Linked DNA regions of Arabidopsis thaliana. The protein of the gene in region 1 interacts with the protein of each later gene in a pairwise test. Each region holds a gene or a part of one and is shown in the gene's direction. Other genes may lie near its edges.

Region 1 (4,805 bases):
CGATTTGGTTTTAGGCCCCGAAGAAAGGAGTGAAGGTAGCTGCTAAGAAGAAGACCGCGGTATGTTTCATTTCCAATTCTCTTCTTCTTTTTTAGGTTTTCGAACATTCAATTTGTTCTTTGTTGTTGTTTTTTTCTTTCTTGCTGAAGTTTTGTGTTTTGATTTCTGATTTCTCCAGGAGAAAGTTTCAAACCCTCTATTCGAGAGGAGGCCTAAGCAATTCGGTATTGGTGGAGCTTTACCTCCTAAGAAGGATCTCTCTCGCTACATCAAATGGCCCAAATCCATCCGTCTTCAAAGGCAAAAGAGGATCCTGAAGCAGAGGTTGAAGGTCCCTCCAGCTCTTAACCAATTCACCAAGACTCTTGACAAGAATCTTGGTATGTCTATTTCATTCTCAATCTACTCTTCAAACATTTACTACTTGCTGCTGTTAATTTATTATTGAAATATTTACCAGTTCTGGTAAATCTTGTGTTGCTGTAACCTTATAAGAAGACTTCGGTGCCTTATTTATATTCGTTATTGATAATTGCAGCTACCAGCCTCTTCAAGGTCCTTCTGAAGTACAGGCCAGAAGACAAAGCTGCCAAGAAGGAGCGTCTTGTAAAGAAGGCCCAAGCTGAAGCTGAGGGAAAGCCTTCTGAGTCTAAGAAGCCCATTGTAGTCAAATACGGCCTCAACCATGTGACCTACCTCATTGAGCAGAACAAGGCCCAACTTGTTGTTATTGCTCATGATGTCGACCCAATTGAGTTGGTTGTCTGGTTGCCTGCTCTGTGCAGGAAGATGGAAGTCCCGTACTGCATTGTCAAGGGCAAATCTCGTCTTGGAGCGGTATGTGTTGTGGGTGATTTCTCTCTAGTTTATAGCCACTAGCATGGAGAGTTAATCTTTATTTCTTTCTCTGACTTTCAGGTTGTTCACCAGAAGACTGCTTCTTGCTTGTGTTTGACCACTGTCAAGAACGAGGACAAGCTAGAGTTCAGCAAAATCCTGGAAGCTATCAAGGTAAATACTTCTTGTGACCAATAGAATGGTAGATTGTGTGAAACATATTGTTGGAGATTCTTATGATTGTGTTTTTGGGTTTTTGTCTATAGGCCAACTTCAATGACAAGTACGAGGAGTACAGGAAGAAATGGGGAGGAGGCATAATGGGATCTAAGTCTCAGGCAAAGACCAAGGCAAAGGAAAGAGTTATTGCAAAGGAGGCTGCCCAAAGGATGAATTAAGAGGCTAGCTTCTTTTGTTTGTGGTTTGCTCGGATTCGTAAAACTTAATAGAGCTTTTTGTTTAGCTGGTTCTTGAAGTACCTCTTTTTTAGTTGAACCCTTTATTATGGATGTTTTGCAATTTCTTGGGACAGTTTCAATGTTATTCAAGCTGCTGGATCCTCTTTGGTCTCTCAACCACTTAAAACTTGACAGTGTGAAATTTTAGCCAAATGCTTATTGCATTCTGGAAAGAGTTATAAGTTTAATTCTCAAATTCTTTTACAGTTCATCTCATAATGATGTGCGTAATTTTTGGTCTTTATGGTTCGATGTTGGAGCAACCATATCCCTAACAACTAGAGTTATATAAGTTCATTAAAATTTGTAGCTGAAGACCAAAAAGTTAATAGTAATAAGTGGGCTTGACGAAATAAAGTTAACAACAAGTGGGCTGATAACTAGATAACAAAGTGGGCTGATAAAATAAAGATTGGGCCCAGATTTTAAATTGAGTTTTATTATAATTGACCCAGCTTCGGGCAAGTTTTCGCTTTTGACCCTTAACTAATTATTCTCCGTGTGGTTTGGATTTGGCGATTGGCAATAGATTCATCAGAGGTTTTTGATATTGGAGGGAATCGGTAACGGGCATGGAAGCCACTGATCCAAGCGCAGAGATCGAGCTCTACACCATTCCTGCTCAATCCAGTATGTCTTCTCTTACCCTCGCCATGCTTTTAGATCTCTAGGGTTTCTTCTTCTACTCTTTTTACTCGCTCAACTGTTTCCGTCTCTTAGGTTTCTGCTTTCTATGGTTTGTTTTCTTTGCAATTGATTTGGGGATTTGTCTTGTTCTTTACAAGGTTGGTTCTTATGGGATGATATACACGAAATTGAAAGACGCGAGTTTGCGGAGTTCTTCACTGAGAGCTCAATCACTAGAACCCCCAAAGTTTACAAGGAGTACCGAGATTTCATTATCAATAAGTTTAGAGAGGACACTTGTCGGAGACTCACCTTCACCAGTGTCCGCAAGTTTCTTGTTGGCGATGTCAATTTGCTCCAGAAAGTTTTTCTCTTCCTCGAAAAATGGGGATTGATCAATTTTAGCTCTTCCCTGAAGAAAAATGACCATCTATTGTCCGTGGATAATGCTAAAATAGAACAAGGGACTCCTGCTGGAATTCGAGTTACTGCAACCCCTAATTCTCTTAGGCCTATAACCGCACCGCCCCTTGTTGAGGAAAGAGTTGAGACTGGCATCAAAGTACCACCGCTTACCTCTTATTCAGATGTTTTCAGTGATTTGAAGAAGCCGGATCATGTATTGGTTTGTGCGCATTGTGGAGAACGTTGCGATTCTCCTTTCTATCAACATAACAAGGTAGTTTTTTTTTGCTTTTTTTCGATTAGCATATTTCATACTCTCTAGTCTGTTTTGTTTATGCTTCTTTTTTTTTTGACATATGATGTTGGCAGGGTATAGTCAACATATGCGAAAAGTGTTTCAAGAATGGAAACTATGGGGAGAACAACACTGCAGATGATTTTAAGTTGATTGGGAATTCAGCTGCAGCTGTGTGGACAGAGGAAGAGATCCTCCTCTTGCTAGAATCTGTGCTGAAACATGGAGATGATTGGGAACTCATTTCACAAAGTGTTTCTACCAAGAGTAGACTAGATTGCATTTCTAAACTCATTGAGCTCCCGTTTGGAGAGTTTCTGATGGGTTCTGCTTCTGGAAGACTCAATCCCTCTATCCTCACCGAGGATGAAAACACGGAACAGGTGCAAACTGATGGGCAGGAACATGAGGAAACAGAGACAAGGGAAGAAAAAGAAGATCGCGTGAATGAAGATGAGCCTCCAGCAAAAAGGAAACGTGTTGCACTGATATCAGAGGGTGATAGTTCACTTATGAAACAGGTGAATGTTTGGTTAAACTATATGCCTTGTGTTCATTATTTTCCATATGAGTGTAACATTCGGGTTCTTCTCTGACCTTTAACCGTCGCAAAGAATGCCCTTTTTAACTCCACTGGAAAAGAATGTTCAAGAGATAACATGTTTACATATTGCACAACAGGTCGCTGCCATGGCAAGTAAAGTTGGTCCATCTGTCGCAACTGCTGCTGCAAAAGCTGCACTTGCAGCTCTTTGTGATGAAGCCTCATGTCCAAAAGAGATTTTTGACACTGATGACTACAGCAATTTCACAGTTGATAGGTTCGATTCTCTAAGCCCTCAATTTGCTTGTGGTTTGGCTTCTCATGTCCTACACTAATCTCAAGATACAAAACTTTGCTCACAGAGCCAATGGAGAGAAAGATACAGATATGGAGGAACAGCAAGAAGAGAAAGGTAAATTGTGTTGTGATTCAATCTGCATTCCTAGGTTTATAATGAAAGCTCAAGGCTTAAGATTTGGAATCGTTATATATTTGCAGACGGGCCTCAGGGTCTACCTGTAGCGTTAAGGATAAGAGCGTCTGTGGCAACAGCTCTAGGAGCTGCGGCTGCACAAGCGAAAATACTGGCTGATCAAGAAGAAAGAGAAATGGAACAGTTAGCTGCGACAGTAATAGAACAACAGGTTGGTTGTAACTTGTAACAACATTAAAACATTTGTGTCTGTTCCACTGTGTTTGTGTCTTGAACCGGACATGTTTTGCTTCTCTTTGTTGTACTCAGCTGAAGAAACTGCAGAGCAAGTTGAAGTTTCTAGACGACTTGGAATCGATAATGGATGAAGAAGAGAAAGTGATAGAGGGTGTAAAGGAAACAATCATCCAAGAGAGGGTTAGCGTTTTGCAATGCGCGTTTAGAAGCGGTATTACCAAACGTTGGGATCATACGTACGTGAAATGATCTTCTTCTTTCATTCGTACTTTTTTTTTCTCTTGGGGTAGAGTTGTTTTCTCATTCCTTATGGATTTGTTATGTTGACTTTTGAGGATTATATGTATTTAGTATTAATGTGTTTTATTGACTTAATGAGGAGAGTAGGTTTAGGTTACATACCTCTTTTGTCGATATGTCTGACCAATGGATGGGTCTCTCTACTAATTCACACGCGCCCAGTGTGACGTCAAATAAATAAAATTCCGAAAACATTTTCTGAGCTTTCCATAATTTGGAAAAAAGTGAATTGAAAAAAAGAACAGTGACACTCTTGTTTCTATAAATTGGTGAGACCGTCCTCAAAACCCCTTCGTCACCTTCAGTGTCTCTCTCTCAAGATCTAGCTCCGGTCATGAAGTCGTCGGAATTCCAATACCACGAGGTTCTCTCTCTCTCTCCCTCTCTCTGCTTAGAGATTTTAGATGTAGTAGTAATAGTTTAACAGGAGAGTGAAGATGTCAAGAGGTGTTGAGATGATTGATTAGATCTTTGAATAAACAAATATGTGTATGAATTGGTGACAGGAATACGTGAGAAATTCAAGAGGTGTAGAGTTGTTCGCATGTAGATGGATCCCATCTTCTTCGTCTTCTCCCAAAGCTCTGGTTTTCCTCTGCCATGGTTGCAGTTATTTCCTTATTATTTCTAAAAGCCGCTTTCTTCATTACACATAATAAAACTGAACAA
Region 2 (3,445 bases), on another chromosome or scaffold:
ATACTCTTAAGTAGATTTGTAGCGTCAAATAAAATGATTGCACATTTTTTTACGTATAGATGTAGATGTTGGGGTGAAAGGGGACTCCATTGCGGCTAGGATTGAAGGATTAACGATCGAAGGAGACATTGACAATGACAGCGACGGAACTCAGACCGGATTCTTAGGAGCCGCCACAGAGGTCGGACATTCAAAAAATAAACTAAAACGCGAGGCTAATAAACGCAATCGGAGGATACAAGCTTCAAGGAAAGTGATGAAAGGTTTTTATTAATCACCTTTTTGTTTGATAAATATTTACGAGATAAACTTTCAAAACGAATTATTCTTTTTTTTCTTTCTATTTTGATTGCGCATGTTAGTTGATCAGGAGATGTGTTTCTTTGGTTAAACTTTTATATTTAGTTCTTCACATTATCTTCAAGATCCACAAGAACTACTTTCACTCTGTATTGACGCCTTTCTTTTTGATTAATCTGCTACAACTTGGAGGACAGCGGTTTGATGTTTAAAAAAGACTAGGGAAAAAAGTTTAAACGTTACCATTTGTGCATGCAATTGCTTCTTTTCTTTTCAGAAAAGAATACGCGTCTTTCCAAAAAAAACCTTGTAAACTGGCATAAATTCTGATTAAAAACCGTCACTTTATAGATCTGCCAAAAATAAAGACATTAATCTAGTGTGTAAAGGCTCTAAACAAAAAGAAAACAATTATATCCGAATCCAATTTTTCTATAACATGATTTTAGATTCAACTGTTTTAGCTACAAATTAGAAAGAAATTATTTTTTTATCTAAAATTCATAGCTAAAACAGTTAGAATCTAAAACCATATTTTAAAAAAAGTAGATTCGGATATGAAATGATGAAAAAACTTTATTTTCGTACGATTCTCAATTTAAAAAGATGTATTTAACGTAACAATTTTCGGATATAACAAAAAAGCGATTTGAATAGTAGATGCGAGGAAAAAGTTTTGTTTTTGTCTTATCTTCGGTCCGAGAAAATGTATTTAACGCAAAACTTTTCGGACATAAAGAAAAAACGATACGAATATCAAGTGCACAGAAAAAACTTTATTTATGCCTGATTTTCGCTCCGAAAAAATGTATTTAACGCAAAACTTTTCGGATCTAAATAAAAAAGTGATAAATAAGCTTTTTATGGTGATAATAGTATGCTGTATAATCATTTCCTACTTCGATCAAATTTATTACGACTAAAATATAAATTATGGAAATGACATTTGCAAACTATTTCTATTGTCTTTGGATTTAGCAATGCTCTCACCAACCTACCAAGATTGCAAAAGAGAAACGGCTGTCGAGGATTTAAAGGATTCCTCTCGACACGTGTGCCAGATGGTGCTCCTCTCCTCTTTATTATTTTTAAGTTCTTCTGATTATCACTTACACGTGTGCCTTCTCATGCAATTTTTACCACTCGTGTGTTTCCAAATGTTTTTCACTCTTCTTCCTTCACGTAAACGCTGCCCTTATTAACGTCTGTTAACTTTACCTCTCACGAATCAAACACCATTTAACACCATAATCAAATATTGAAATATTCTAAAACGTTGATCATGATGACGATTTTTGTAAATTACTGTAATTGTATATACTTTACATACGATCTGCTGCATCTGGAAAAATATATCTTCAAATCATATTAGTTTATCTTTCACCATCTTCCGTTGCCGTTAAGATATTATGTATCCACAGTATATAAGTGCATGCAACAAAAAATAACTGTAACGTTTAAACTTTAAAATATAGTTTTGGCATTTTTCATTGCAAAAGGTAAAATTATTAAATATTCGACTTTTTATTTCGTTTTTCTTCCTATAAATTCCCCTTTCAGTTTCCTAAATTACTTAAGATTTTCCTAAGATGAAATCTCTGTAGTTTTTTTTTTGTTCCTTTCTTAAATTTCGAAAGAAAGACATTTATTAAACCAAAATAACTCTTTAGATCATTGCAAGGAAAAATGTTGAAAAGTGCAAGTCCAATGGCATTCTACGATATCGGAGAGCAGCAATACTCTACTTTCGGGTACATTTTAAGCAAACCTGGGAACGCAGGAGCTTACGAGATTGACCCTTCGATCCCAAACATCGACGATGCGATCTACGGCTCAGATGAGTTCCGTATGTACGCTTACAAAATCAAACGGTGTCCTCGTACTCGTAGCCACGACTGGACGGAGTGTCCCTACGCTCACCGTGGCGAGAAAGCCACACGCCGTGATCCTCGCCGTTACACTTACTGTGCAGTCGCATGCCCGGCTTTCCGAAATGGCGCATGCCACCGTGGCGACTCATGCGAATTCGCACATGGCGTATTCGAGTACTGGCTCCACCCGGCGCGTTACCGAACACGCGCATGTAACGCCGGGAACTTGTGTCAGAGGAAAGTGTGTTTCTTTGCCCACGCGCCGGAGCAGCTAAGGCAGTCTGAAGGAAAGCACAGGTGCAGGTACGCATATAGGCCGGTGAGGGCTAGAGGTGGTGGAAACGGCGATGGAGTGACGATGAGAATGGACGACGAGGGTTACGACACGTCACGGTCTCCGGTGAGAAGCGGGAAAGATGATTTAGATAGTAACGAGGAGAAGGTGTTGTTGAAGTGTTGGAGTCGGATGAGCATTGTGGATGATCATTATGAGCCGTCCGATTTGGATTTGGATTTGTCACACTTTGATTGGATCTCAGAGTTGGTCGATTAAATTTGGGAAATCAAAGCAGAGAACAAAAGAAACCCGATAAATAAAGTGGATTTTGTTAAAATCCACAAGATCAAGATTCAAGATGAGAGATCTTGTCATGTATATGGTAAATTTAATTGTAATGATTTATTGCAATGTCGCAAAAGAAGTTACTTCTCTTTGCATGTAAACAGATTCTTGATCTTCTATAAGTCTTTGTATTTTCTATCGTATAAACAATGTTATAAAACAGAGTTTCAAAAGAAAATTGGCTAAGTTTGTATTTTAGTCACTACTAGTCATGCAACCGTTACGTAGATATTATAGTTGTCGCTTGTCAGTAACTCGGTATATCCGTATATAGCTATAAAAAGTTTGGGTTGTTGATCGTTGACCAGAAAAATAAAACAGCAATTTGATTGACAGTATATACGATTATTTTGTAAAATGTAGATGTTGAAAGAAAATTTAGTTACAAATAAAGTAATTTTTAATTAAAAAATTTATAATTGATAATTTATCTTAAAAACATCTATAATCAATTTGCTTTGGTATAAGAAAACCAAATATGAAAATAGTAAAATCAATTTTTAATTTAAAATTGATATAATATGAACTACATGACGGAACACCTAAGAGCATGGTACTCTAAGTTGCTCTGTTTAAACTGCGAGGTACTCTAAAGAGATGGAATAAAGAAGTTTTTGGTAATGTCCAACAGAAAAAAGAAAAATTGCTTAAT
Region 3 (3,318 bases), on another chromosome or scaffold:
GAAGTTCCTTCCTTTCAAAGTTCCATATCCAGTTCCTTTTAGACTTCTTGGTGATGAAGCAAAAGGTTGGCTAGATACTACTTATTTGTCGCCTTCAGGTAACCTTAGGATTTCTAGGGGAAACAAGGTAAATGAGTTTCTTGATTCTCAAAAAGAAAATTAAAGCTTTATAGCATTTTTATCCATGAGGCTGTATATTTGTAGCGCAGGGAACAACGTTTGTTCTTCAGAAAGAAACCGTGCCTAGGCAGAAATTGTTAGCCACCATATCTCAAGACAAAGGAGTAGCTGAGGTAATGTGTCATGCCTTCAAGAAATCTGAAAACAATCGATAGTTTCGGTTTGAAATGGAACCAATGGATCGTTTAGTATAAACACAGGCTATCGATGAGTTTCTTGCGTCTAATTCTAATTCCGCGGAAGATAATTATGAGCTTTTAGAAGGAAGTTGGCAAATGATTTGGAGTTCACAGGTCACTTCTCTGATAACTTTAGCTTTTGTCTTGAACAAGCACTTATATTCGTTTGGATAAGCGATTTTTCGGGTTTTGTGTTTGCAGATGTATACAGATAGTTGGATTGAAAATGCAGCAAATGGTCTTATGGGAAGACAGGTAAACATTTTATTAGAATGTCTTAGGTAGTCTATTGTTGCTTCAGCTGGCTTCGTTTAGCGAAATCGAGTATCTTATTCAGATCATTGAGAAGGATGGGAGGATAAAGTTTGAAGTTAACATCATTCCGGCATTTAGATTCTCCATGAAAGGCAAATTCATGTAAGTCTCTGTCTTTTAGATTAGTCATTTTGCTAACTTTTTTGTGATCTTGTTTCTTGACTGGTCTCATGAATGATTTGCAGAAAATCAGAAAGCAGTACATATGACTTGAAGATGGACGACGCAGCAATTATAGGCGGTGCATTTGGATATCCGGTCGATATAACAAACAATATCGAGCTAAAAATTCTGTAAGATCTCTCTATCTTCTTCTTCTACTACTTTCACAAATCACAACATATAATAATGCATTTGAATTGCTAATACAGAGATGCTTACTTTAATGTTTGTAGGTACACAGATGAGAAGATGAGGATAAGCCGAGGATTCGATAACATTATCTTTGTGCACATCCGAGAAATTTAGCTGCATTGTTCTATCAGAACCTCTTATTTGAACATATGAAAAAAAATAGTATGTAAGAAACTGTCAAATGTTTTACAACAATGGAAGGTGATAGTTTAAATTTTCTCTGTTCATTAGTTTTTTTGGATGTAACAGGAACCAGAAAAAACAAGAAACCACATGATATAATTTTCGCTACTAATGTCTAAATTAAGACAAAATTAACATTAAGAAAACTTTACTTTTTGTCTTAATCTTAAACAAATTCACTGAATATTTCTTTCTACAAAGAAAATACGAATATCTCACTAACAAAGGAAACTTACCACTAACAGCTTCTGGTGGCATTAATTACTCTGTAAATTGCCATTTTTTCACCGAGAGAAAACTAGAAAAACAAAACAAAACATGGAAACTGTAACATTCTAAAAGATTCATTGTTAACAAAACCAACAGAGAAACATAATACTGATTTTCCAGGATTTACTCCCTCAAATCTCTCCTTCAAATACTCTTCCTAATCTCTTCTGTTTTCATTTTGCTTGTTCCCTGCGAACATCTCTCTCTCTTCCTCTGTTTCTTGTTTTTTTGTCCTTTTCTTGATTTTTGTATTTTTTTGTTATGGATATGGACGAGATGAGCAATGTAGCCAAGACAACGACAGAGACTTCAGGCTTAACTGACTCTGTCTTGAGCCTCACGAAACGCATGAAACCTACTGAGGTTACGACCACCACAAAACCTGCCTTGTCCAACACGACGAAATTCAAAGGAGTTGTTCAGCAACAGAACGGTCATTGGGGTGCTCAGATTTACGCAGACCATCGAAGGATTTGGCTTGGAACTTTCAAATCCGCTCATGAAGCCGCTGCTGCTTACGATAGCGCATCGATTAAGCTTCGAAGCTTTGATGCTAACTCGCACCGGAACTTCCCTTGGTCTGATTTTACCCTCCATGAACCGGACTTTCAAGAGTGCTACACGACAGAAGCTGTGTTGAACATGATCAGAGACGGTTCTTATCAACACAAGTTCAGAGATTTTCTCAGAATCCGGTCTCAGATTGTTGCGAATATCAACATCGTGGGATCAAAACAAGTCTTAGGAGGAGGAGAAGGTGGTCAAGAATCGAACAAGTGTTTCTCGTGCACGCAGCTTTTTCAGAAAGAACTGACACCGAGCGATGTAGGGAAACTGAATAGGCTTGTGATACCTAAGAAGTATGCAGTGAAGTATATGCCTTTCATAAGCGATGATCAAAGCGAGAAAGAGACGAGTGAAGGAGTAGAAGATGTGGAGGTTGTCTTTTACGACAGAGCAATGAGACAATGGAAGTTTAGGTATTGTTACTGGAGAAGTAGCCAGAGCTTTGTCTTCACCAGAGGATGGAATGGTTTCGTGAAGGAGAAGAATCTCAAGGAGAAAGATATTATTGTCTTTTACACTTGCGATGTCCCCAACAATGTGAAGACATTAGAAGGCCAAAGCAAGACCTTCTTGATGATTGATGTTCATCACTTTTCAGGCAACGGTTTCGTGGTTCCCGAGGAAGTAAACAAGACGGTTCATGAGATTTCTGATGAAGAGATGAAAACAGAAACCCTCTTTACCTCGAAGGTAGAAGAAGAAACCAAATCAGAGGAGAAGAAAGGAGGGTTTATGCTGTTTGGTGTTAGGATCCAATAGCTAGCTACTTGGTTCTTAGGTTTTTTATATTATAACTTAATTAGAGTATGGTTTTTATTTGCTTTTGTATTACATAGTTTTTTTATTTACAAACTCGATGCTTCGATTTTGATATCTAACATTAATTAGATAAATTGTCTCTCTTGAGTAGATCAAAAAAAAAAGAAGAAGAAAAACCAAAAGAGGCTTTAAATTCTTCTTCTTTTAAGAGTTAAGACAAAAGCCACTTAACTGCTACAAACTACAACGAACTAAACAATCCTAACAAAGACATTTAGTTAATGTCACAAAATGAAATAGATACAACTCACTTCTCTCTCTATACACTCCTTAAGAAGAGGTGAGTCTCCGCTTACATCTCCTTCGAGTCCCATCGCCCTCTTTGTCAGGAGTATCTTCTACAACAGTTTCTTCTTGTACAACCAACCCTCGGTTTCTCGATAGTTTTCTTATTGGTGTTGTCTGAGTATCTTGTGTGAAGTCTGCTGATGCAGGGGCTGATGCAGCGGGA
Region 4 (4,229 bases), on another chromosome or scaffold:
TCCTTAAATAAAATAACAGAAAGAGAATATTAATTTGAGTTAAACAGCTTCCACAAGTAGTACAACTGTCTGTACAAGCAAGACTCAAGTTTGAAGGAAAGTGGGATTTTTTTTTGTTACTTTATATATTGTTTTAATTTGTCTTAATTAGTTTAGGAACAATAATAAAGACTATATTAGGCAACATGCACGTACGTTTGTGTGTTTTCGAGATCCCAATGGTAGCAACTGGCAAGTAGCAACATACTAAAATAAATAGCATTGTTTAATTATGCGTACAAACGAAATTGGCTACATTTTTAGTTGCTTCACCACCTATACTTGATCATGGATTAGCTCGATTACTTGGCTGCAGGATGTGATATTTGATATTATTGTAAAGTGATTTAAGAGTAACAATAATCGATTGCGTCTAAGATTCAGTTGACAAACTAAATTGTTTTACGTTCCAACTCACATCACTTTGATAACCTGTAAATCATGATTTATCTTTTCACATCTGCGTTTTCATAAGAAAGTTTGAAATGTATAAAAGATGCATGTAAACCAGTAAATGATGATAATGACATATTTAGTTTAGAAAACTATATGTAGTGATGTTAATATGGGCTAACCCACCCCAATTAAACCCATCCCATTTAAACCCACTCCATTTAACTTTAAACTCATATAAATCCATTTATTTTTGAAACCCATTTAACCCTACCCATTTAAATTTAGTAAATCCATGTGAACCCATTTAAACCAATTAAGTGAGATATTGCCTTTTATTAATTAATTCATAAACTTAATAGATAAATAACAACAGTCCATAAACATTAGCTAAATCTGAAATATTTATAATTTACTAAAATATAGATTTCAATAACATATAATGATAATAATATTTTCAAATTTGGCAAAAAATATTTTTTTTTGTGATTTTGGCGGGAAAACTTGATTTTACGGTTTTACGGGAAAATGTCGTTTACGGTTTTGGCGGAAATACGTGATTTTACGGTTTTGGCGGAAAACACTTTTTGTGATTTTGGCGGGAAAACGTGATTTTACGGTTTTGGCGGGAAAACGTGATTTTACGATTTTGGCGGGAAAACGTGATTTTACGATTTTGGCGGGTAAACGTGATTTTACGGGTTTGGCGAAAATACGTGATTTTCAATTTTGGTGGGAAAACGTCATTTTACAGTTTTGGCGGGAAAACGTGATTTTACGATTTTGGCGGAAAAACGTCGGTTTACGATTTTGGTGGGAAAATGTGATTTTCGATTTTGGTAAAAAACGTGATTTTGGTGGGAAAACGTAATTTTATGGGTTTTAGCGGAAAAACGTGATTTTACGTTTTGTTTTAAATATATTTAGTATTTTGCTCTTTATTTTAGTTATAATTAAGTTATCTACTTTTTAATAAAAATAACTAATATAAAATAAAACATAAATGGGTACCCATTTGTTTGTGGGTAAACCCATTTATTAAATAGGTTTAATTGGGGTAACCCATTTAACCCCATTTGATATTTTTCTCTAAATGGGTTTAAATGGGTTATTTTTTTTTGCACATACCCATTTAACAAATGGCTATTCAATGCCCAAGTTAACATCACTAACTATATGCTTATTTCTACTAGCTCTTCACCAAGACCATCGTGGAAACTTTGATCGACAGAAAAAACACCTCAGCTCTTTTTTCAAATATTTCAGCGACATTTTAGTAGTTATGAGGAAACAGTAGTAGTTAGGCATGGACTAACATATCAATTGGCGAGACAGCAAAAAGACAATTAGACAAGACACGGCACGAAACATACATTATAGACATAGAGTCTACGACCTAACACGTTTGCGATGCTCTCTCTTATTACCTAACAATTCGCCTGCTTACCTATTTCCTTAATTACATCCCACCATTTTTCACTTCCAAACTTCAATTTGTTACGGCGTAACGTAAATGATCTTGTTACTGGAATACACAAAACGTATAAATTTTCTTAATATTCTGATAACATTTCTTTCTTTCCAATTATGACTTTTAAAAACCACTACCAAAACTAATACAACCTCATATTTACTGTCTTTCCTAGAATACACAAAAATACACGTTATAAGATTTCCTATAATGACATGAACTGATGAGATTCTAGCCCTAATCGTTATTATCAATCAGTCTATGAGTTTAATAATGTAATCTTATCATCATTACCCGTAGAAACGCATTAAAAGAAGCTTGAAATTGACTATAACTAGTAGTAGCCTAGTTAGTAGGACTCTCAATTTATGATTAAACCGGTTTTCGATAACCGTTTTCGATAACCGGTTTTTCAGAAATGAGTGTGATTGATTCGGTTAGCAGAGGAAAAAGAGAGAGGTAGGAGAAAGAAGATAATCGCCGTTGCTGACGTCACCGCCGGTAATCAAAAATCTCTCCTTTAACCGTAATTTCTCTTTTAACTTTACCAAAAATCCGATCCAACAGAAATTCTTATCCTAAGCCTCTTTCTCCACCGCGCACGTTAGCCTCCTCTCTTTCCCACTCCGAGATGGAGACGACGCCGGAGACTCAGTCGAAGACTCACCGTCTACCGGCGGGAAGAGAGGATTGGTGGAGCGAAGACGCTACGGCGACATTGATCGAAGCTTGGGGAGATCGTTACGTCAATCTCAACCGGGGAAATCTCCGGCAAAACGATTGGAAAGAAGTCGCCGACGCCGTCAATTCAAGCCACGGGAATGGCCGGCCAAAGACCGATGTACAGTGCAAAAACCGGATCGATACGTTGAAGAAGAAGTACAAAACTGAAAAGGCGAAACCTTTATCGAATTGGTGCTTCTTTGATAGACTCGATTTCTTAATCGGTCCGGTTATGAAGAAATCGTCCGGTGCTGTTGTTAAATCGGCGTTGATGAACCCTAATTTGAATCCTACTGGATCTAAATCAACTGGTAGCTCTCTCGATGACGATGATGATGATGATGATGACGACGAAGAAGATGATGATGATGCGGGTGATTGGGGATTTGTGGTGAGGAAGCATCGTAAAGTTGAAGATGTAGATTCGAGTGAAGGATCAGCCTTTAGGGAGCTAGCGAGATCGATTCTGAAGTTAGGGGAAGCGTTTGAGAGAATCGAGGGGAAGAAGCAACAGATGATGATTGAATTGGAGAAACAGAGAATGGAAGTTGCAAAGGAGCTTGAGTTACAACGAATGAATATGTTGATGGAGATGCAATTGGAGCTTGAGAAATCTAAACTTGGGAAACGAAGAGCTGCTTCAGGTAAAGTTTTCATTTTTATGTGTGTTTTGTTGTGATTGATGAGTTTACTGAAACTTCAGTTGTGCTTTGTTTGTTGTATAGGTAAGAAGTTGTAGGATTGTAGATTGTGGAGGAGTTACTGATGTGAAGCAAGGAGCAATGGTTGGATCTAAAGCTCATACGATTTGGAGAAGATGTTATTATTATTGATCTTTAGGTTTTCTTAAGTTATAGCGCGATGCTTTTTTTCTTCTTCTTCTTTTTCATTCTCTTTTTTAGCATTGTAGAGTTACATTGGTAGTAGCAATGCGAATTACCAAAAGAACTCTCATAGTATCTGACATATCAAGATGTACTTTTGTGAAGTATCAATGTATGATGGTTTGTGTATCAGTGTCTGCAGTTCCAAATTGTGCTCATCTCTCTTTCTGTGATCTGCAATTACTCTTTTGCTTAGGCAGGTTTCAGGAATGTGTACAGACTTAACAAGATGCGTAGAACGGTTCTGAGGAGAACTCTTATCAGAGTCATTCATAATTCAGTTTGGAATTTGATCAAACCCACCAAGCTATTGATTTGGATGTTTGCTTATGTGACTTTGCTGCACTCTGGAATCTCCAGGACAAGACTCTTGTGGCCTGAGGGAGACGAGTTGACACATGAGGCTGTATTATTGGAGCCTCAAAAAAGAACATCATAGAAGCATATATATCAATGTTTCATGTTTGGTAGAATTTCGGGATGACATAAGCATGTGCTCTCCTATTCATACCTGACTTACAAAGAAGCTCTTCATCTAAAACACCTCACTTTACTCACCTTGGCCTACCACTTGGTCCAAAACTGGTAAGGACTCTGACCTTCCAAGGCTCATCTTGTACCTGAGTTATCTCATCGCATGTGATGGTTACTTTTGAAGTTAAAACCCTTTTTCATACATATGATGAAGTAAGCATCTGATTATGCATACTGGAATTCAT

What was found.
Region 2: the proteins of SWI3A (region 1) and PEI1 interact in a two-hybrid assay, tested with the Arabidopsis thaliana proteins (one large-scale study listed by BioGRID).
Region 3: the proteins of SWI3A (region 1) and AT1G51120 interact in a two-hybrid assay, tested with the Arabidopsis thaliana proteins (one large-scale study listed by BioGRID).
Region 4: the proteins of SWI3A (region 1) and AT3G11100 interact in a two-hybrid assay, tested with the Arabidopsis thaliana proteins (one large-scale study listed by BioGRID).

The regions. Positions count from the first base shown.
Region 1 is NC_003071.7:19,530,167-19,534,971, forward strand, and holds SWI3A (SWITCH/sucrose nonfermenting 3A), read left to right. Parts: upstream 1-1,780; 5' UTR 1,781-1,867; coding exon 1,868-1,925; intron 1,926-2,080; coding exon 2,081-2,601; intron 2,602-2,696; coding exon 2,697-3,143; intron 3,144-3,303; coding exon 3,304-3,443; coding exon of another isoform or gene 3,444-3,501; exon of another isoform or gene 3,502-3,528; coding exon 3,529-3,578; intron 3,579-3,664; coding exon 3,665-3,810; intron 3,811-3,908; coding exon 3,909-4,085; 3' UTR 4,086-4,305; downstream 4,306-4,805. Other genes in the region: AT2G47610 (Ribosomal protein L7Ae/L30e/S12e/Gadd45 family protein), read left to right, coding at 15-59, 179-380, 539-837, 919-1,011, 1,104-1,235; AT2G47630 (alpha/beta-Hydrolases superfamily protein), read left to right, coding at 4,471-4,500, 4,643-4,739. UniProt on the Arabidopsis thaliana protein: Component of a multiprotein complex equivalent of the SWI/SNF complex, an ATP-dependent chromatin-remodeling complex, which is required for the positive and negative regulation of gene expression of a large number of genes.
Region 2 is NC_003076.8:2,370,730-2,374,174, forward strand, and holds PEI1 (Zinc finger C-x8-C-x5-C-x3-H type family protein), read left to right. Parts: upstream 1-1,889; 5' UTR 1,890-1,986; coding exon 1,987-2,724; 3' UTR 2,725-2,926; downstream 2,927-3,445. Other genes in the region: AT5G07490 (uncharacterized protein), read left to right, coding at 60-274. UniProt on the Arabidopsis thaliana protein: Embryo-specific transcription factor required at the globular to heart stage transition in embryo development.
Region 3 is NC_003070.9:18,936,343-18,939,660, forward strand, and holds AT1G51120 (AP2/B3 transcription factor family protein), read left to right. Parts: upstream 1-1,748; coding exon 1,749-2,807; downstream 2,808-3,318. Other genes in the region: AT1G51110 (Plastid-lipid associated protein PAP / fibrillin family protein), read left to right, coding at 1-127, 210-293, 381-473, 561-614, 697-776, 860-967, 1,070-1,142; AT1G51130 (Nse4, component of Smc5/6 DNA repair complex), read right to left, coding at 3,138-3,318.
Region 4 is NC_003074.8:3,475,626-3,479,854, reverse strand, and holds AT3G11100 (sequence-specific DNA binding transcription factor), read left to right. Parts: upstream 1-1,954; 5' UTR 1,955-2,534; coding exon 2,535-3,270; intron 3,271-3,351; coding exon 3,352-3,365; 3' UTR 3,366-3,668; downstream 3,669-4,229.